6 linked regions of the Rattus norvegicus genome follow. The protein of the gene in region 2 purifies or fractionates together with the protein of the main gene of each other region. This does not show direct contact. Links are inferred from orthologs where the notes say so. Each region holds a gene or a part of one and is shown on either strand. Other genes may lie near its edges.

The links.
Region 1: the proteins of Rmnd5a (region 2) and Ranbp9 purify together in Homo sapiens (affinity purification with mass spectrometry; 9 studies listed by BioGRID and IntAct, counting the BioPlex papers as one, with this or other methods). This does not show direct contact. The link is inferred for Rattus norvegicus from reciprocal best matches to the Homo sapiens genes RMND5A and RANBP9.
Region 3: the proteins of Rmnd5a (region 2) and Gid4 purify together in Homo sapiens (affinity purification with mass spectrometry; 4 studies listed by BioGRID and IntAct, counting the BioPlex papers as one, with this or other methods). This does not show direct contact. The link is inferred for Rattus norvegicus from reciprocal best matches to the Homo sapiens genes RMND5A and GID4.
Region 4: the proteins of Rmnd5a (region 2) and Mkln1 purify together in Homo sapiens (affinity purification with mass spectrometry; 4 studies listed by BioGRID and IntAct, counting the BioPlex papers as one, with this or other methods). This does not show direct contact. The link is inferred for Rattus norvegicus from reciprocal best matches to the Homo sapiens genes RMND5A and MKLN1.
Region 5: the proteins of Rmnd5a (region 2) and Ski purify together in Homo sapiens (affinity purification with mass spectrometry; 3 studies listed by BioGRID and IntAct, counting the BioPlex papers as one, with this or other methods). This does not show direct contact. The link is inferred for Rattus norvegicus from reciprocal best matches to the Homo sapiens genes RMND5A and SKI.
Region 6: the proteins of Rmnd5a (region 2) and Ranbp10 purify together in Homo sapiens (affinity purification with mass spectrometry; 4 studies listed by BioGRID and IntAct, counting the BioPlex papers as one, with this or other methods). This does not show direct contact. The link is inferred for Rattus norvegicus from reciprocal best matches to the Homo sapiens genes RMND5A and RANBP10.

The regions. Positions count from the first base shown.
Region 1 is NC_086035.1:21,496,277-21,499,776, forward strand, and holds part of Ranbp9 (ran-binding protein 9), read left to right. Parts: intron 1-738; coding exon 739-890; intron 891-3,500. UniProt on the Homo sapiens protein: May act as scaffolding protein, and as adapter protein to couple membrane receptors to intracellular signaling pathways. Acts as a mediator of cell spreading and actin cytoskeleton rearrangement.
Region 2 is NC_086022.1:104,939,089-104,942,588, reverse strand, and holds part of Rmnd5a (required for meiotic nuclear division 5 homolog A), read left to right. Parts: intron 1-48; coding exon 49-151; intron 152-2,298; coding exon 2,299-2,453; intron 2,454-3,500.
Region 3 is NC_086028.1:45,719,914-45,723,854, reverse strand, and holds the start of Gid4 (glucose-induced degradation protein 4 homolog), read right to left. Parts: upstream 2,801-3,941; 5' UTR 2,720-2,800; coding exon 2,531-2,719; intron 2,484-2,530; exon of another isoform or gene 2,242-2,483; coding exon of another isoform or gene 2,218-2,241; intron 1-2,217. Other genes in the region: Atpaf2 (ATP synthase mitochondrial F1 complex assembly factor 2), read left to right, coding at 3,482-3,641.
Region 4 is NC_086022.1:61,053,318-61,056,817, forward strand, and holds part of Mkln1 (muskelin), read left to right. Parts: intron 1-625; coding exon 626-755; intron 756-3,500. UniProt on the Homo sapiens protein: Component of the CTLH E3 ubiquitin-protein ligase complex that selectively accepts ubiquitin from UBE2H and mediates ubiquitination and subsequent proteasomal degradation of the transcription factor HBP1.
Region 5 is NC_086023.1:171,002,458-171,005,957, reverse strand, and holds part of Ski (ski oncogene), read left to right. Parts: intron 1-2,230; exon of another isoform or gene 2,231-2,319; intron 2,320-3,252; coding exon 3,253-3,375; intron 3,376-3,500. UniProt on the Homo sapiens protein: May play a role in terminal differentiation of skeletal muscle cells but not in the determination of cells to the myogenic lineage. Functions as a repressor of TGF-beta signaling.
Region 6 is NC_086037.1:50,574,560-50,578,059, reverse strand, and holds part of Ranbp10 (ran-binding protein 10), read left to right. Parts: intron 1-82; coding exon 83-267; intron 268-3,500. UniProt on the Homo sapiens protein: May act as an adapter protein to couple membrane receptors to intracellular signaling pathways.

The sequences.
Region 1 (3,500 bases), on a different chromosome or scaffold from region 2:
GGGTAAAATAAATCTCAGTCACTGTGAAGAGCAGATGAATTCATCTCTAAAAAGCTAATTATATCAAGTACTCGTTAACGTTAGCGTTTTCTTCATCATCATATGGATGCTGCTACCAATAGTGATTTTTATGAGTACAGTGTTTCAGTACCAAGTGTTAGTCAACATATATAATATAAAATACTTTTAAGGGTAACATTTTCCTTAGTAGTGTAATTGGTCTTTTTCATTAGTAAGATAAAATATCATCTGTGCTTCTACTGGGGTCTTAACTTCTAAGAACATTTTAATCTATTTCTGTTTGCTGTCTGTTAAAGCCCGAGAGGGGAGTTACTGTTCCATATACCCACCCACCCCCATCATGTTTCATGGAGTGTAGGAGTTACACTTAACTTTCCATGCAAACACTGGACAGTTCTTGTACCACGGCTGCACATTGAATGTCGGATTCCAAACTCTTGAGACACATAAAATATAGCTTTGAGCTACATGGAAATTTTTGACTTTTTGTGTTCAGCAGCCAGTCATGGTAGTAGCAGCCTGTAACTCCAGCCCTTGGGAGGTCATTGCCAGCCTAACAAGACCTTGTCTCGAGAATATTCATAGCTATCTGTATTTAGATGAACTAAAAAGTAGTTACTGAAGAACATATGATATGTTAAAAAGAAAACTTGTATGCTCACTGGTTTTTTGTTTTCTGTTCAGTAAGTAGTGAACTAGCTGTTGTTTTGCCTACAGAAGTTGACTGCAGTCAGTTAAGACGCCAGCTGTGTGGAGGAAGTCAAGCTGCCATAGAGAGAATGATTCACTTTGGCCGAGAGCTACAAGCCATGAGTGAGCAGCTGAGGAGGGAATGCGGCAAGAACACAGCAAATAAGAAAATGCTGAAGGTAAGAATGTCGCTTGCTTTCTGGGAGGCTTACTGGAGAGGTTTCAGTCCGTTCCCACTTGCCACTGTCGTTCCTGGGTCTGTGGTAAGAGAGAACCTCAGTGCAGGGAACTCAGTAGAGTAGGGCTGACTGGGAGAGAGAGGACAGGGCCCTTTGTAGGCAAGCATCCAGTGACCTTCACTGACTTAGGTTCTACATGGGGACCTAGTCTTACACCCATGAGCTTTTGAGAGAATATTTCATAGTCAAACCATATCATATGTTTTCCCTTGAGACATAAATGTGTCAGAGGTACCAGATGTAGTTTTATTAAACATTAAGCAAAGTGGTAGAAATTCTGGGGAATTTGCACTTGGGGTCCCTCAGTCGGTGCCCATTTGTGAGTCAGAACTCTTGGTGGCATAGGCAGTTCTGATCTGGAACATTGGGTTTCACACACGCAGTCTTAAGTGCCAGCTCTGCTGCACCGAGATACCGTGTCCCCTGGGACTCCCTGTGCAATTGCCGTGCCTGCTGAAACCATGAACTTGACGTGCATATTTTGGTAAACACTGTTTTAGGGTTGCAACAAGTTAAATTGGTTTTATGGGAATCAGTGAAGGATTAGATCCATTTTTTTATGTCTAGAATGGTTAAAATACATTTTGAAGTCTCTTCTGGACAAGTCCATGGTGGGTGAAAAGGATAAAATTTCAATAAAAAGTTAACCACAGTTTGAGTTTTTAAAAGTTAAATTGTTACAGATAAAACACCACACACCAAAACTACGCAGACTCATAGACTGTGGTAAATCTCAGTAACCATTGGTATAGCACCTGTTCTGATGCTCTGGGGCTTCACATTGGATTCTTACATTTTCACCGTCAAATATATTTTTATGTATTCATGCACCACCATAAAAAACAAATCTATGAAAGAAGTAGAACTAGAAAAATAGCTTTCTGTTCTCTTTCATAACTCCTGTTACCTGCATTTACCTCCAAATCCTATTGATTCTGGCCCTGGATAGGACAGAATACCGTAAGTAGGAAGCACATGGAGGAAGAGGCCTTCATCCCATGGCAAAGGAAAGCAGAGAGAAAGGAAGAAACTGGGATCATCTATATCCTTGAAAGACACAGTCCCAGGGACCTACTTCCTGTAACTAGCTCCTGTCTCCCTAAGTTTCCAGGACTTCCAAAAATAGCACTGCCTGCTGAGATAGCCTGTGACAAACATTTCACATCCCAACACAGCACCTCCCAGAAGGCAAAGGGAAACACACTTAATGGGCCTTGTGACCAGTGATTAGAGATTACATGAAAGGGCAGATGACTGCTTATATTTGTTCTGAACCTGAACTGAGAATGTAGTGATTGGTAACTTGTAATAGTACCCACCGTATCCAATACCTTATCCTTAGCAGAAAGCCAGCACTAGTAAGTATTTATTTGCACAGTAGTCTCAATTAAAGGCATTGTTTTACATTACAGTAGCTGAGGTTGGAAGAGCAGTGTCATTACCCACCATCTGCTGGGTCACATGACACTTGAGTTTCTAGCCGTAATCCTCAGCAATGAAGAGAGTTAAATTACTAGATATGAAAGAGTCCGTAGAAACAAATGTCATGTGTCAGGAAAGTGGCTGTCCACGTTTGCCTTAGAGGATTTTCTCATGGTCAGATTATGTCTTTATAACTCTCCAGTGGTAAGTATCTCTCTCTTGAGTACATGCTAGTCTATAGCATCACTACCTATCCCTGTGCAGCTCTTGAGAAGTACCCGTTGAAGAGTGTTGTGAAAGTTAACATGGTGGGCCTTTGGTTAATTTCTAGGCATCTGAACAGTACTTTGCAAGATGCTAAGGGCTGTTTTAGGGCTTTAGTTCCTAATATTTCTGATATTTAAAATTGTTGATGGGGGCCAACAGTTCAGCTCAGTGGTCTAGTGCTTACGTGTGCTAGAGGAGGCTCTTGATTTTACATAAGCACTGACACACACACACACACACACACACACACACACACACACACACACACACACACACACACACGGGGGACAGAAACAGATTTCTAACAGTTTTTGTTTAAATGTGTTACATATACTGGTATATATGGTAGAAGTTAAAACTAAATTTTTAAAAACTAGAAATTCTCAATTTAAAATCTTTATGAAAAATGTACTCCCACTTAAATGGGGTCTCTAATGTAATAATAGATGAGCTATATTCTCATACCTCCTTCTACATCGAGTCCATAAATCAGACATTTGGGCTACGAAAGTGAAAAGGGCAAGGAAACGTTAGTGATACAATGAACAGTTTTAAGTTTGACACCTCCTTGAAAGGAGCCCAAACACTGTCCCTGGACTACATTGATGGAAATGTCTCGTGTAAGTGATACTTGAGAATATGAAATGTGCTCAAGAATTCTTAGGCCTCCTTATTTATATTCAAGTCATCTGACTGTGTAGATTCTCAAAACTTTGTGCTAATTGACCTGGATGAAGGAATGTGCGGTAGTCTACTGCCTTTGAATATTTAGGATTATACTCCCATAATCTCACTGTGTCTTTGGTTTAACATGACACTCAGAAAACATCCTTATGTGACCATACTTTAGAAGTATTTCTT
Region 2 (3,500 bases):
GTTAGCATCCCTGGGGTTGGCACTAATGCTTCCCTTTTTTGCCCTCAGTTTCTCAGCAGGTTGTGTGGCGCTGCCTGCACTAATTAACATCAAAGCTGTGATTGAACAGAGGCAGTGTACTGGAGTTTGGAACCAGAAAGACGAATTACCTGTGAGTTCAATTGACAATTTATTTACCTTTCTTGCCCTAGAAGGTGTTTTCAAAGTACTCATCATGCCATTTAACCAGAAAACACTATTACAGCTATTCAGCATGGTTTTTTGTTTGTTTTTGTTTTGATGCACATAACATGAGTGAACAGTAAGGTTGGATATAGCTCAGTGGAAGACCATTGCCTGGCAGGCTTGAAGCTTTGGACCTAGTCTCCTCACCACTCTAAAAAGGAAACATGTCAGTTAACTAATTAAAATTAAAATAGGTAAGAGGGAGGTGATGGAACACACTTAATTCTAGCTCTCAGAAGGGAGAGGCAGGAAGATGTTTGTGAGTTTGAGCCCAGCCTGGCCTACATAGTAAGTTCCAGGACAATCAGGGCCTCTTTCTTACTGAGACACTGTCTTAAAAAAAATGAAACAAGAAAATAGATTTGAAGGATTTTAACCCGAAATTATCATTTCTGAGATAATTGTGTCACAGATGCCGGAGGGTTGAATTAATAAGCCTTTGACATTAGCTTCTTTTCCCACACCTGCACATAGATTTGTCTGCAGTTAGCTTGTTCCTTCAGCTGTAAGCCTGTCAGTTGGTTGCACCAACTAGAGCAGCTTGCTGAGGGTGGTTTGTGACTAAAGGCACAGGTGCCTTCCTGGTGCTACATGTGGTCAGGGCATAAGCAACACTGTACTCTACTGCTGCTGCTTGAGCAAATGAAAGAACTCTGTTTCTTAAGCAGATGCCAAGCTTCTGGCAGTTTTATGATCTTTCTGTGAGCTTCTTTGACATATGCACACTGACGTAGAGGAATCTATAGGATCCCCGCTGACAGTGTGCATCTGACTGGGAGAGTATCAAGAGGAAGGGGTTGGTAATCTTTCCTCAGGAAAGATTTGTTGTACTTTTGGCTTTTGTGCGCCCCTCCCTTTCTTTTGGGGAGTGGGGAGTCAGGGGATACCCTAACTATATAGTCCAATTTGGGTTTCCTCTGATCTTCTTGGGCACTGGCTTTATAGGTGTGTTCCACCATTTTTTCAGTATTGTAGTTTGGACTCAGATCCTTGTGCACACTGAATTCCTTCCCCTTTGTCAGTTTTCCTTAAAGAACCTTATGAATTGACTAAGTCTGTGTGTCACTGGCTGCCGTAGATCTCATTTTGTCTTGTATCCATCAGATACAAGAGACCTCAAACTCAAAACCCCTTTCTCTACTGGGACTAAAGGTGTGTGTCACCACGCCTGGCAGTAATGGACTTTTAGTACAGGAGCTGTTGTAGATGGGAAGAAAGAAAAGGGAGGGAGGGAGGAAGGCAGGCAGGCAGGCAGGCAGGCAGGCAGGCAGGCAGGCAGGCAGGCAGGCAGGCAGGCAGGCAGGCAGGCCATGTATTGGTGGAGACTCAGCTGGTCTGCTAGATGACTTCAAACTTTTATATAATTGGATTTATTTGTGGCAAAAACACAATGTTGATATCATGCCTTGAGCTTTTAATGTGAACAAATGACAAAAATCCTGCTGAGATTTAGCTTAAGTGTTATTGGTATTACAAGCCTGTAATTCCAGACATTTGGGAGGCTGAGGCAAGAAGACTGTAAATTCAAAGCCTGCCTGGACAACTTATAGAGAGCCTATCTCAAAAGCAAAAAAAGGGGGGAACATGCACCAAGAGGTGATGGTGGCAGGTAGGGTACTGGATTAAAGCCTGCCTAGTCACATGCAAACCTCCACTTTGGACTCTAGCACTGGGGGAAAAAAAAAACAAAACAAAAATCCCTCCTTCGGGTTTTCTCTGGACCATGTCATGCAAATTACAGAGGAAACTCAGATCTGGTCACCTAGAAGGCAGCTCTATTTAGATTGCCCTTGGAGGAGTCGATGCACTGAATTTATCACCTAACCAGGCATTTCTACAGAAGTCAGGGTCTGCTTCTGCTCTTGGGATATGTTCTGGTGAAATTACAAGGTATTTAGGCCAGGGATATGGCTTAGTGCTGGGCCAGGCTGCCTGGTACCACCAAAAAAAGATACTTAACTTTTGAGCGTCATGTTTGATCTTCTCAGACCCCAGATTCAGTTTGAAAAGCAATGTTGTAGTTTTGCAGATGAAGATTTAACTAGCCTCTGTGCATTTCTCTTTTTTGAACAGATTGAAGTGGACCTTGGTAAAAAGTGCTGGTATCATTCCATATTTGCCTGTCCCATTCTTCGTCAGCAAACAACAGATAACAACCCACCCATGAAATTGGTTTGTGGTCATATTATATCAAGAGATGCCCTGAATAAAATGTTTAATGGTAGCAAGTAAGTGTCAGACTTCTTAAATATTAAATAGATCTGTCTTGTAGGAAGTAAGATGTAATAAGGATAAATGAATGCATCCAAAATCTTTTATATATTTGGTTGGTTCCCCAACCCCCCAGGGTTTCTTTGTATAGCCATGGCTGATCTGTAGAGTAGGCCAGCCTCGATCTCGGACATTTGTCTGAGTACTGGGATTAGTGTGTAACACTGTGCTTAGCCATAACTACACTGAGAAATGAGTTTTCTTAACTAGTCATAGAAAGTGGGTTATGTCTAATCTCTTTGGTTAGTTTAACCTGCAGTCTAAATTTGGTAAATAGACTTGTAAATGTTCTCTAATCCTTGTGTGCCCTTCCCTCCAGGCTTTAAGTGTAGTTACTATGCATGTCCTACTCCCTTCTTTGTTTCACTTCTCTCACTTAGGGCTTTATTGTGGAGCTATTTTTATATGTTGCAAAAAGAGCCCTTTGTTATGATGATGTTAAAGCTGTGGATGAGCAGGCATGGTGGTGCTTGCTTCTAATCCCAGCACTTGAGTGGTGGAGGTAGGACCCGGAGTGCAAGGTCATCCCAACTATGTAGCAAGTTAGAAGGGTCATCTTGAGCTACATGAGATTGTCTCAACTACTTTTGCTGCCCTCCCCCAATGTAGATTACTCTGCAGTGTGGAAATATGATTATTCAGCTATTTTCCTCTTGGTGAATACAGTGCCAGTGTGTTGTCCACATGTGATAATTGCTACCAGTGTAATCATGGTTCAAAGCTCATAGACATTTGTAATTTTACAGACAATGAGCCCAATTTAAAACAAAACAGATCTCCAAGGTATTCTAACTTAGGCAGTTGGAGGGGTCTTGACTCAGGTTGGTTCTGGCCCCATTGTGGGAAGGCCCTTTCCTGGGAGGTCTGTTGCTTGAAAGAAACTGTTTATACCCTTCCCAGACCACACAGAAACCCTGGCAGTGCAGATTGGTGGTGATTGTGGTCACTGAAACGCATGTGGGCTGTCCTTTATGCAGACTGATAGCTCACAACAGATTTGCTGT
Region 3 (3,941 bases), on a different chromosome or scaffold from region 2:
GGGGGGGCAATAAAAACGTTTTAAAATCAGGTGATAGTTGTACAACTTTGGGAATATCCTAAAAACCATTAAGGGTAGACCTCGAATAGGCAAACAGTATAATGTGTGGAGTATATCATAACAAAAGTACTTAAGTAGAACGAGCAGGTGTACTTTCATTGGTTTGATTTCAGAGTCCATGCCTTTAACTGCCACATTATTCTGCTTCCTAAAAATAGTTTGGGCTAGAGAGATAGCTCAGTGGTTATCCCAGTGACCACGTGGGGGCTCACACCCATCTGTAATGGGATCTGATGCCCTCTTCTGGTGTGTCTGAAGACAGCTACAGTGTACTTATATATAATAAATAAATAAATCTTAAATAAAAATAGTTCAAGCCAAACAAACAAGAAAAGAAGGAAAAAAGTTGAATTATGAAAGACAGAACTATTCTCAGAGGGCTGAGTCTAGAAAAGACCAGTTAACATAACAGTTCCTGTGCCCCCACCTGGTCACAATAACAAGTTCACAGGCCTAGATGCAGGGGAGCCATCCGTGGCATGACTACCAACCATTCCCACCTCTAGGCATTCCATATAGGATATGGGCTACCTGACACCTTTCAACCACCTCTCTCACTCAACCACCTTTCCCATTGATCACAAGACCCCTGACAAGGTAGGGAACAACAGATAAATGATAGGAACAGACTTCCCTTTGATACCTAGTTGCTCTGGCAGTGATTTCCCTATTATATCAGAAATCAGCAAATGGGCGGAAATTCAGGGCCATTCCAAACATGATCCATGCAGGAATCTCACTTCCAGAATTTTATGATTAGTTGAATGAATTAAAAACAAAAAGCCTAACTTTTTCATACTATAGTATCAAATCTTAAAAAGGACAAAATGACTACCACAGCAGGTAACAAGACTTGAAATAGCTTGGCCACAACTTTCCAACTACAATAAATACAATAAATAAGTTCATGCAGAACTTCATGGGAAAAAAATTACATTTAATAAGAGTATGGTTTCCCCAGTCAAGAAGCTGAGAACTATCCCCACAAATAGTAAGAAAGAAAAGGCTGATGAGTGTGCTGCAGTTAGAAAGGAGACACAACTCTCCTGTCTGTGGAGTGGGAGAGCTATTTGTTCAAAAGAATCCAAGATGGGAAATTAGAACAAAGGGCGGTGGAGGGTATACAAGTACACTGCTATACACCTCCTTGGGGCCCTGGGGCTGCACGCCCCTCTAAGCCTCTGGTGGGGCTTTCAAGGAACAAGATTTGGGGAAGAACCCAGGAGCTGGCATTAGGAAAATGCACACAAGGTGAGACAAGGGAGAGGTCTTCAGGCAGTACCTAGAAAGAACAGTATTGTGCAGAGGGGAGATGAAAGAGAACTATCTCCTTCCACCAATCTCTCTTCAGTTGGGAAAAGCTTCAAGGGAGAGAGCAAGAAGTGGAGTTCTGGAAAAGAAAGGCCCAGAGCAGATGAAGCTGAAGTTTCAAAGTTGTTCCGGGCCTGGCAGCCACTAGCCAGTACTCAGATATCCAGGTCAAATAGGGGGAGGTAAGTGGACACAAAACAAAACTGGGTTAGACTTCCCAGTACTTGGGCATCTGAGGCTGGGAGGAAACTCTGGAGCTATGTAGATAAAAATCAGCAACACTACAGGCAGCAATGGCAACCAGCTAGACCAAGGTGTGAGGTCTGGGGAGAGGCCGCGGGGAAGGGGGGGGGGCGACGACACACACGACTGTCAGGGATAGAAAGTAGCTATAGCGCAAGGTAGGGTAAGAAGCCTGGGGCAGGAAGCACAGTGTAGCAGCAGATGTCTATGAACTGACTGACGCCGAGTTTTGGTACTGGAAGGCCTCAGGAGACAAGGTCTTAACACTAAGTGGTGCAACTGGAGATATCTGGGTGTGAGTACCTGGTCTTTGGGGAGCCTTAACCTTTGTGGGTTGTTTCGGCCAATGGAGGGAGGTTGCCCACCTCGCCCCGGTCGCCCCGAGAGCAGCGGGCTGACTGAGTTCTCCAAACTCAAAGGAGCAAGGTCCCTGGCACTTTGGATGGAGTTAGGGTCAGAGGAAAAGCTTCATTCTGGGAGAATGTGACACTGGCCGCTACTGAGTTTGGGGCAGCCAATGAAGAGTTTTTCAGGATCCGACAGGGATTGGTGGGAGGGCTGGCTGGTGTAGGGAGGACAGGACAGGACTTGGGAAGAACCGACCCAGGCTAAAGGACGGCTAGTCATGGGGGTGCTTCCGGATCCCAAGCGGGAGAGTCAAAGGCTCCAAGTGTGGGACAGTCTTCGGGGTCTGTCGGAGGCTGGCCGCTACAGGCTCTGAGTCTAGGGGTGGGTTAGGGGTAGGGTTCGAGAGTGTGACATCAGCTGGGCAGGTCCCGGTGGGAGGCGCCGGGTGCAGGAGGCCCCGGCAGTGAGGGCCTGGTCCGCGGCTGAGGGCTCGAGGAGCCCAGGGCAGGCCCGGCCCGTGAGCGCCGCGAGGAGGCCCTCGGGCCGGGCCTTGCCGCCTGGCGCTCACCTGCAGCACCACCTCTACGTCGTACGAGTTCCCCTTGCTCTTCTGGTGGCCACGGAACTTGGAGCCGCTGTAGAGCAAGCTGGTGGCCACGCCGGGCTGCTGGGTGTTGATGGGCGGCGGCGGGATGAGTGAAGCCGCGGATGTGGCTGAGGCACCCGCCGGCGGGGGACACTCGGTGCGGACCGGCATCGCGGGGTCCCCCGGAGCCAGGGCTGGGGGAGGGGGAAGGAACCGCCGCCGCCGCGCGGGAGCCGAAGCTGCGGGGAGGGCGGACCCGGGCGCGCACGCGCGGGGGAGGGGCTGGGGAACCACCCGCCCGCTGCCGGCTGACCGAGCGCTCGTGTCGCCACCTGGACCCCGAGACCTGCAAGCAGGGCCTCCCAGTCCTGAGCTGGGCTCCCCTTCCCACTTGCCCTCGCGGGCTCACACATACACACACACACACGCACACATGCACACACACACGCGCACACACTCACTCATACACACACGCGCGCACACACACATACACACACACACACACACACTCGCGCACACACTCACACACATACACACACACACACACACACACAAACACACACACACTCTACTGCTTCCAATTGGCGCGGACCCGCCGGAGAGGCGGGAGCAAGCTCACGCGGCGCTTCCGCCCATTGGCAGACAGAGAAAGCACGTGGTGCGGTGCGCGAATGGCCCTCTGGGACTTGTAGTTTTCTTCCCGTAGCGCGGCATGGAGGGGGCGGGGCGAGCACGCTTGTGATGCTGATTGACGGGGGCGGGGGCGGTACGCAGGGGGCGCGTGGCTGTGACGGCGTGCCGTAGGTGTCATGACGAAGATGGCGGCGTGCTGAGGAGGCTGAGGGCTTTGAACCCTTGGTGAGAGGTTTCCGTACGGAACCAGCGAGGCGTTTGGGGGACTCTCTTCGCTCTATTCCTGTACTGTTTTCACGTATGGGTCCACCCAAACCCTTGGGCATGATGTGGCGAATCTACCCCCGGCTGAGGGACCGGTGGCGCGGTCTCTTGGACCGGCCTCTCGGTGACCCCACCGTTTCATTGTGGCCGGGGCCAGCTCTGAGGCCTCCAGCCCGGGCCTACGTCCCGCCAACAGGTGAGGCCCGGACTTCTGTTACTTTTTGTTCAGGAGCCAAGTCGGGCTCACCTGGCGGAAGGTTTCCGACGTGCAGTGCGGGGTGACTGAGGCAGGGTTCAGGCCCATGAGAATATTCAGAGTAATAGAACTCTGTTTCAGTTTGAAAAATGACATCCAAACCAGTGCGGGAGTGACTTTAGGGGACACAGCGTTTCCAGGGTAGGAGATATTTGGCTGAGGCTTCTCTCAGTTTCCTTTCTTTTTCTTCGCCTTTTGCTTGTTTCATTTTTCAAGACAGGGTTTCTCAGTGTAGCCCTG
Region 4 (3,500 bases), about 44 Mb from region 2:
GTCCTTTATTATGTTTTGACTTACACAAACACACTTCTTGCTTGCTGGCTCACTCTTATTTCTGCTCTCATAGTTATACAAAAGGCAGAGTCTTAGTCAGGGTTTGACTGCTGTGAACAGACACCATGATCAATGCAAGTTTTGTAAAGGACAACATTTAATTGGGACTGGCGTACAGATTCTGAGGTTCAGCCCATTGTCATCTAGGTGGGAGCATGGCAGCATCCAGGCAGGCACGGTGCAGGAGGCGCTGAGTTCTACATCTTCCTCTGAAGGAAGCCAGGAACAGACTGTGCATCCTCAGGCAGCTAGGAGGAGGGTCTCCAAGCCCACCCCACAGTGACACACTTCCTCCAGCAAGGCCACACCCTCTAATAGTGCCACTCCTTGGGCCAAGCATATGCAAACCATCACAGGCAGCAATCTGGCTATTCAGTTTTAGTGGGATACCTTAGCAGTGGTAGTGTGGAGAGACCTGCCTCGTCCCTCTTCATTTGAGCAAAGTAGTGATATGTGGGATCACTCGGAGACTGCTCTCGTAGGGATGTAAAGTGTGAAGGCTCATTCTCAGTGCTTTATTGGAAATGACAACTCCCTTTTCTCCTTTTTTTTTTTTTCTTTTTAGAAAAACCGTTGTTTATACGTGTTTGGTGGCCAGAGATCTAAGACCTATTTGAATGATTTTTTTAGTTATGATGTGGACTCTGATCATGTAGACATAATTTCAGATGGCACCAAGAAAGACTCTGGAATGGGTAAGAATATTTCCTGTGTTGTAACTGCTTTTTATAGGAAATTAATGTCCATTTTCTTCTCTTTGTAACCTTCTCTAATTGAAATAATTCTAAATTAAAGGAATAAAACTGTCTAATTCCACTGTTCAAAATCACATGATTTACTATTATTTTAAGGAAACTATAGTGTGTGAATTTCTGAAGTAAACGTGTATGTCTGTGCTTTGGGGAATGGACTTTGTGAAAAAGCAGCATCTGAAGAAATATTCTGACTTTGGCGACACCACCAACTTGAGTCCACTGTAGTAAACTGTAGGTAAGGCATGAGCACAGCAGAGTGGTCTCTAGGGTAGCCTCCTGCAGTCGTTCATACCTTGAAGATGTTCGAGCTTATCATCTAAGTAGGACCTCCTACTAAAAAGGTGGTTATTTACTAACCAGATTCTGTACATTGTCCTGGCATGGCTAGTAGTAATTCATCGTACACACTACTTTTTAAAGTCTCATTTTGATAATTAACAGTTAACCAACACAGTAATTGCTTTACCTATGAATTCTTTATCCAGAAGGGTAGATTTGATTAAGGCCCAGTTTGGCACTGGAGATAGAATTAAAACCAGCTTGTTTTTCTTTTCTTCTTTTAATATAATTTTTTAAATTTTATTTAATCTCTTTTTACAGTCCAGATTTTATCCCCATCTCAGTCTACCCTCTGACTATTCCACATCCCATAACTCCTACCCCCTTCTCATTAGGATGTCCCCATGCTCCCACCCCCACCTCACCAGTTCTCCCCACTCCCTGGGGCCTCCAGTTTCTTGAGGGTCAGGTGCATCTTCTTTGACTGAGTCTAGACCCAGCAGTCCTCAGCTGTATATGGGTTGGGGCCCTCTTATCAGCTGGTGTAATGTTCCCTAGGTGGTGGCCCAGTGTCTGAGATATCTTGGGAATTCAGGTTAATTGAGACTGCTGGTCCTCCTACAGGGTCACCCTCCTCCTCAGCTTCCTCCAGCTCCTTTTTAATTGAACCACAGCAATCAGCATCTTCTGTCCATTGGTTGGATATAAATATCAGCATCTAACTCTTTCGGCTGCTTGTTGGGTCTTTTGAAGGGCAGTCACAATGCTTATTGTGAGCACTCCATAGCCTCAGTAATAGTGTCAGGCCTTGGGGCCTTCCCTTGAGCTGGATTTCTCTTTGGGCCTGTGGCTGGACCTCTTTTTCCTTAGGCTCTTCTCCACTTTTGTTCTTGCAGTTCTTTCGGACAGGAAGAATTATGGGTCACAGTTTTGACTGTGGGATGGCAACCCCATCCCCCTGTCTTTCTACTGGAGGTGGGCTCTACAAGTTCCCTCTCCCCACTGTAGGACGTTTCATCTAAGGTCCCTTTGAGTGTTGAGAGTCTCTGGTACATTCTGGAGGGTCGCCCTACCTCCTACCTCCTGAGGTTGCCTGTTTCCATTCTTTCTGCTGGCCCTCAGGATTCAGTCCTATTCCCCCACCTAATACCTGATCATGTTCTCCTCTTCCCCTCCCTGTCTCCTTTCCTACCCAGGTCCCTCCCTCACCCTCCAGTGATTGTTCTTCTCCCTCCCAAGTGGGATTGAGGCATTCCTCACTTGGGCTCTTTAGCTTGTCAACCTTCTTGAGTTCTGTGGATTGTATCCTAGGAATTCTGTACTTTTTAAAAGCTAATATCCACTTCTTAGTGAGTACAAACCATGCATATCCTTTTCGGTCTGAGTTACCTCACTCAGGATGATAGTTTCTAGTTCCATCCATTTGCCTGCAAAACTCATGATGTCCTTATTTTTTTTTTCTTTTTTTCGGAGCTGGGGACCGAACCCAGGGCCTTGCACTTGCTAGGCAAGCGCTCTACCACTGAGCTAAATCCCCAACCCCCGATGTCCTTATTCTTAATAGCTAAAAGTATAACATTGTATAAATGAACCACATTTTCTGTATCCATTCTTCTGTTGTGGGACATCTGGGTTGTCTCCAACTTCTGGCTATCACAGACAAGGCTGCTATGAACATAGTGGAGCATGGTGGCATGGCACCTTTTGGCTATATGCCCAAGAGTGGTATGGCTGGATCTTCAGATAAATCTATTTCCAATTTTCTGAGAAATCTCCAGATTGATTTCCAGAGTGGTTGTACCAGTGTGCAATCCCACCAGTAATGGAGGAGTGTTCCTCTTTCTCCACATCCTTGCCAACATGTGCTGTCACCTGAGTTTTGATCCTAGCCATTCTGATTGGTGTAAGGTGGAATCTCAGGCCATTTTGATTTGCTTATCCCTGATCACTAAGGACTTTGAACATTTCTTTAAGTGCTTCTCAGCCCTTCAACATTCCTCTGCCTCTGTTTTTGATTGGGTTGTTTGTTTGTTTGTTTGCTTTTGGTTTTTTTTTTTGGGTTTTTTGTTTGGTTGGTTTTTTTTTTTTTTTTTTTTTTTGGTGATTAGCTGTGGGGGGGTCAGTGAAGATTTTTTTTTCCCAATCTGTAGGATGACAATTTGTCTTATTGACTATGTTCTTTGCCTTACAGAAGCTTTCCAGTTTCATGAGGTCCCGTTTATCAATTCTTGATCTTAGAGCATGAGCCATTGGAATTCTGTTTAAGAAATTTATCCTGTGCCAATGAGTTTGAGGTTCTTTCTCATTGTCTCTGTTAGATTCAGTGTATCTGGTTTTATGTTGAGCTCTTTGATCCATTTGGACTTGAGCTTTGTGCAAGTTGACAAATCTGGAAATACTTTCATT
Region 5 (3,500 bases), on a different chromosome or scaffold from region 2:
AACCCCACACACACAAAATCAAGGACAAGAAACTGGATGTGGCTGGAAGGATGGGAGCGCAGGCACCTTGGGGACAGTTTCTGGGGCAGACTCTTGTTAGTTTTGTTTTGGGGACAGGGTCTCTTTATTAGGTAGTTCTGGCTGTCGAGGAACTTGCTGTGTAGACCAGGCTGGCCTTGGACTCCCAGATCTGCCTGCCTCTGCTTTCCTAGTGCTGGTGTTAAAAGTGCATGTGTGCCCTTCACCCTGGCTCTGACTAAAGAGGGGTTATCTTGGGGTGAAGAATGGCAGTGAGCTGCTTCTCTCAGGACTGGAAATGAGTGGAGGCTATCAAGATTCTATAGCGTGTGAGGTGAGCAGATGCTCTGTAGGGACCCCCAGTGGTTCTCAGCTTCTTTGTGGGTATCTGGTTACCATGATCTTAGCAATGTGCAGGCCTCTTTTAGAACCCCCAACCCACTCCACTGCCTCCACAGTATTAGCCAAGGGGACCACTGCCTCTGGCAAGTTGCCTCGTGAGGTTTCTCCAGACCTACCGTCTTTGCTTCTTGGGCATAGGCATCTTCAGGGTGCACTGTCTGTCCGGTTCAAGCCCTCTACTTGTGCTGTATGGTTCCTGCTGGCCACAAACCCCTGAGGCTCTGCCTGGCAGTTCTCTGTACCATCTGAGGCTAGAGGAGAGTGTTAGACACAGCAGCCATATTGGCCACAGCTCACCTGAATGCCAGCCTCCACTGTAACCCGTAGGCCCATGTCGTCCTGCCCTGTTTCTGCCCTTGGGCAGCATGAGTGTCTCAAGTGCTCTTTCTGAGGTTTGGAGGTGGAGGTGAGGAATTCTTAAGTTCCCTGTAGGTCAAGAGTACACAGACTCAGCGATGGGGGGTGGGGGTGGGAGTGGGGGTGGGCGTATATAGCTGGCTCCTCATCTGCTTTGGGATCTACATATCCACAGCCCTGCCTGGCCCAGCCCTTCCTGCACAGGTGCAAAGGTCACACTCAGTGACACCTGTTCTCTGCGTCTTTGCCCTTGGGATGTGGAGGAAACAAGCACCACTGTCTGAAGCTCCAGAGAGGAAGTAGCCACAGGGCATTGCTGTGGCCAGCTCAGCTGGCTCCTCCCCTGATACAGCCTGATAATAGCCCTTGGTATTGGACTTTTGGCAGCAGGGCTGTCTCTTGTCAACCTGTTTAGCTCCTGGCTTTAGCATATGGGCCCAGAGCTCCCCTCCTGGCTTATAGACACTGGGATGGTTTTGAGGCCCCAAGAAAGGACAGGATCCAGAGGTAACTGACTGGTCCTAACCATTGACTGACTCCTAGGACCCCTAGTATCCATGCTATAGATGGTGGTATCCCAGGTCTGACAAAGCTTTTTCACTGCACCCCTGTCAAGCAGGACCCCTGTCAAGTGACCCTTCTTCAGGGTCCTGTTGCTTAACAAATGCCCTTCAGCTTCCCCCTTATGTGTACAGCTAGTTTGGTATTAAAGGGATTCCTGGCACCGTCTAGTTTTAACACTTCCTTGTTCTGTAAGAGTTCTGGTTGCCTTTGGACTTTGTATGAAAATCTCAGGAGAGCTGTCCCAGCTACCCTAAGACTCCTCCACTAGCTCCAGGGGCTTCCCCATCCGATGTGTGAAGCAGCTGGGTTACCTTAGGAGACTTTGACCCCAGTATGGTAGTCTACCACTCCCCCCGTCTGTGGCCCTTCTGAACAGGAAGCAGCCTCACCCAGTGGTCCTATTCCCCAGCATTTTCTGCTGGGTCACAGTTTTGAGGCTGCCTGAGCGGTGTCCCAGACTAGACTTGTGGCTTTCTCTGTGAGAGAATAGAAACTCACTTTTTGCACCTGTTCCAGTGTCTGCTCAGACAGGAAGCCCCACCCTGGTGTGCAACACCCCCCTTCTGCCTCCATTGTGAGAGGGATCCTTGCAGTTCCGGAAGTGGGTTCTTCTACCCCAGCCAGCATCCTGGGTATCTACTCCTTCAGGGAGTACACACGGCCTCCGCTGACAGATCCTCTGCTAAGTGACAGCTTGACACTAAGAGTTATTCCCTCTAGAAAGTGGTTTCGGTGTCTTTTCTTCTTGAACAGTTATTTGTATGTGTCTGGGAACACCAGTGTCGTCCCAGGCACATGCATGCCGCCAGGGGGGCTGATCGCCCTCTCCAGGTTTCCTAGTAAGAAACCTATCAAGCTGGCACCTTGGCTGCCTTCTTCCTCTTTGCAGGTGTTGTGATAAAAGCCCTGTTCTTCTGTAGGCCGGAGGGCTCTGGCTGGAAGTCTCACTTTAGCTGCATCCTTCCCATTACACCCAAGGTAACGAGGCTGTGCGTGGGACCGAGGTGTAAACCCTGTATGCCTGCCTTGGGGTCTGTGTCATCTCCTTAGGCCCTACCTGGGGGACAGCAGCTTAGCTCCTCTAGTCTTATCTGCTCTGGGAGAGGCCCATGCTGTGATTGTTCTGCAGGTGGAACGCCGGTGTGTGTGTGTGTGTGTGTGTGTGTGTGTGTGTGTGTGTGTGTGTGTAATGTGACACTTAGGTGGAGGGTCATTGGATTTCACATACAGACTGGCTCAGGTGTGCACCACTTAATGCTGGATGTCAAACTAGACCACAGCTGGTGCCCAAGATAAGTTAGGGTACTGGCTGGCTTCTGTAAGCTGACAGCAAAGGCAGTGTGGTGACACCTGGTTAAGCTATTTTGTGAGGTATGTCATGGTCCTTCAAGTTGAATATTTCCTTCCTCTGGGGAGGGGGTAGCTGTGGTAACCGTAATGCTCTCCAATGAAGCAGTGATAAAGGATGCCCAGAGGGCAGCCCTCTTGGGTTCCTTACAGGCTGCTTGTTGGGTCACACTTGAGCCTGGAGTCAGTGCTGGGTCATTTAGCCCATTCCTGATGTGGCCACAGAGTGGGACTGAAGGCAAAGAACCTAAGAGTGCTGTGGAAGCCGGAATGGGTCTTGGCGATCCACACAGCACCCGCTGCAGCTGTGATGAGGTCACCTCAGAGCAGCCCACAGCAGCACAGTATTTCTCTGTCTCATGGGACGCCCTCGTCCCTTAGCAGACACATCAGGCTTACCTTTCTGCACAAGGCCAAGGTGCTCTGTGTTTGTGGCTCTGAGGCTCCTTCCTAGCTGTGGAATTACAATGGTCCAGTGGAGAGCTTGCTACTATGGGGCTGGTAGGGAGACCAGACCCTGCCTGGGCCCAGGGATCCCAACAGGGCCTTTTGTGTTGATCACAGGTCTCAGAGCCCCCAGCTTCCATAAGACCCAAAACAGACGACACTTCCTCACAGTCCCCTGCGTCTTCTGAGAAGGACAAGCAGTCCACTTGGCTGCGGACCTTGGCTGGTTCCTCCAATAAGGTGCTATGTGGGAACCTGTCTGGGGTCTTTGGGGAGGGAGTAAGGCCCTTCTTAAGCCAACTCTGGCTCTACTCGGCCTCAGGGACATAAAGTGGCTTGTAGTTCTGTAGTCATTTACATGGGTT
Region 6 (3,500 bases), on a different chromosome or scaffold from region 2:
CTGGCAGAGCCATGGAAGTGAAGAGAAGCTCCACAGCCCTGCTGCCCTCAGGGGCCTGACTGATATTCATTCTTCTCCTCAGGCCAACCTCTACCCCACCGTAGGCCTACAGACACCTGGGGAGATTGTGGATGCCAACTTTGGGCAGCAGCCCTTCCTGTTCGACATTGAGGACTATATGCGGGAGTGGCGTACCAAAGTCCAGGGCACTGTGCACGGCTTTCCCATCAGTGCCCGGCTTGGCGAGTGGCAGGCAGTGCTGCAGAAGTGAGTGTTCCCCCTCCCCCAGGCCTCATGGGACTATAGACCTGTGCAGTACTGCAAACACTGCTGACAGTTGTAGTGGTGGGCATGCTCCTGAGAAGCACTGGCAGAGGACTCAGCTGCTCATGCTTCCCTCTCACCAGTGCACATCTCACTCATACTTTTGGAGCTGCTCCTAGTTAAACCTTGTGTGGGGCTACAGAAATGACTCAGCAGTTAAGAGCACAGAGTGTTCTTGCAGAAGACCTGAGTTCAGTTCCCAGCACCCATGTCAAGTGGCTCACAACACCTCTGACATCACTAGCCTCTTGAGGCACCTGCTCTCAAGTGTATAAACCCACATATGGGTCTGTATACATGCATACATACATACATACATACATACATACATACATACATACATACATTTAATTCAAAATAACCACAATTTAAAAACAAAAAACAAAAAAAAAAAAAAAAAACCTTCCCCTCAACCAGCTCACAAGTCTTCTATTTGTAAGTGCACACCTTTAATCCTAGCACTTGGGAAGCAAAGGTAAGCAGATCTCTGTGAGTTTAAGGCCAGCCTCATCTACAATAGTAAGTTCCAGGACAGTCAGGGCTATGTAGAAAGAACCTGACTTTAAAAATACCACCACCGGGATTGGGGATTTAGCTCAGTGGTAGAGCGCTTGCCTAACAAGCACAAGGCCCTGGGTTCCCCAGCTCCGAAAAAAAGAAAAAAAAAAAAAAAAAAAAAAAAAGATACCACCACCACCAACCAAAGGAAATAACTAGTTTAAAAAATCACCAGCATAGCCGTGTTCCTTCCCAGGGCTATTTTGTAGAAGTTTTAGGACCACTATGGTTTATTCTTCTGTGGACACTTTTTCTGCTATAAAAATGCATATTGCCAAATGTGGTGGTGCATGCCTCTGTTCCCAGCAGCAAGTCTCTGAATTCGACACCAGCCTGGTCTACAGAGCAAGTTCCAGGACAGCCAGGGTTATTACATAGAAAAACCCTGTCTCAAAAAGCTATTTAAAAAAAATCTGCATTGCAAGGCTTTGGCTTGAGGTCACTTAACAGGCTCAGCATCCAGCTAATTATCCCTGTGTCCATGGAGTGGTATCAGGGAAAGAGTGGATCAACCTAGCATGCTCCTTGGTTAATTAATCTCTAAATTGTCTTGGAAGCCAGTGTTGCTGGGACTCCAACAGGAGGACAAGTTTGGTCTTATTTCACTAGCTAACTTCATACCTAGGTGAAGCAATGACTGTTACTCACCCACCTCTTAGAAGGTGAGTGTTAGCTTGGCTCCCAAGAGTGGAGAAGGTCCTGGCTTCTACTAACCCTGATCATTGTTGTGCAAAGGCATGAGGGACCTGGAGTAGCAATATACTGGGTTCTCATCCAGTCTCAGTCAGTCTCAGTCCCCACCCCAGCTCCACCCTTTCTCCTCCACTGACTTTATCTTTCTTTTGAACTCAGGAATTTACATATGCTAGGAAAGGACTATCACTGAGTCTTATCCCCAGTGTTCAGCCTTCCTTTCCTGAGGAATTGATACTAAAGCAGCCTTGAGGAAGGGTTGAGGTACAGATAGTGAGACCCTTGTTGGGAAGAACAGCAGGACCACCTCTGGCTCCCAGCCTAGCAGGTGAGAATTGCTCCCTTGAGGGCCACAGCAGTGCCATTCCCCACAGTATGCTTTCTGGGTGGGCAAGAGAAGAGGTGGAGTTACTTTCAGGGTCTGGGCTCAACACATGGAAAGTTTTTGTTTATATGTATGTATCCATGTGCCTGTATGTGTCCTATGCAGCATTTGCTAAAACCTGCATATAATTTGTGTCCTGTTATTTTACCTAATTTTATAAATATTGGAAATGGCTGGGTTATCTTGGAGATAGATTGATCACAAGCTTCATGTCTGGCCGGCTTCCCCTGGTGAAACACCGGTACTATCAACTTCCCTCCCCCATTCGCTCCCCTTCCTCCTACTTCTCTCTCCTTCCCTCTCTGTGATAACAATAGAACACAGGTGGTCATCCATGCTAGGCAACCACAGTACTGCTGACCTGAGTCCCCAGCCCCTGTTTCTTTTGCTGGCATAGGTAATACTTTCATAATAAAGAAATTTATATATATTACATCACTTTCTGGATCTAGCGATAAGGCTCAGTGTTTAAGAGCACTTTCTGCTCTTGTTGAGAACCAGGTTTGGTTCCCGGATGACATGACAGCTTACGACCACTGGTAACTCCAGTCCAGAGGATCAGGCACTCTCTTCTGTACTCCGTGGCACCAGCCACACTCAGAGTGCTTAAGCTTGCATGCAAACACTCAGATGTATAAAACAATGAGGAGATGAGAAGGGCTTAAAATTTACTTTGGTGTCCTCCAAAATAATTTAAACTATGCCTATTTTGTTAGAATTTTATTTATTTTTCTTTTCTATGTATTAGAGTTTTGTCTGTAGCTAGGTATGTATGTGTAGTGTGTGTGCTTGGTACTTGTGGAGGCCAGAGGAAGGCATCAGGTCCCCTGGAACTGGAGTTATGAACAGGCTATGAGCCACCATATGAGTGCTGGGAACCAAATCCAAGTCCTCTGCGAGGACACCAAGTGCTATTAAACCACTGAGCCATCTCTCCAGCCCTAAGAAAATACATTTTAGAATTATCAATGTTCATATGGGCTCATCTGAACCATGTTTTTTTTTTTTTTCAAAATCATTGCTCTTCTGTTTATGATAATAATAATTACAATTATTGTCCGAGAGTATATTTTTGTCCAAAATTAAAACTTTATTGAAAAACTGACACCAAAATAGCAGTGTATCCTATAACACAAGGCTACATTTGTTTTCAGTTCATGCCAAGCATCTTGTTCATTCTATCTCATTTACCCCTTCAAACATCAGGAGCCACCCAGCCACAGGTGTGCAGCCTTAGAACATTCTCCCCATACATGTCCACGCAAGTCATGAGAGTTCATGCATATACATGTACATATGTGCATACATACATATGGCATTGCTCAACCAGCTTTAGCGGGGTTAAATTACTGTTGTACATTATGCCTTCCACAAAGACTGTGCTCCTATTAGCCATGAGGTGCCTGTCTCTTCCCAGCAAAATCAGCCTGTTATCTTGAATTCTTGCACCTTTAATACATGGTATATTATGAGATTAATTTGACTCATTTGCCTGCCATTCCTCTAGAGCAGTGGTTGTCAATCTTCCTGATGCTGCGAT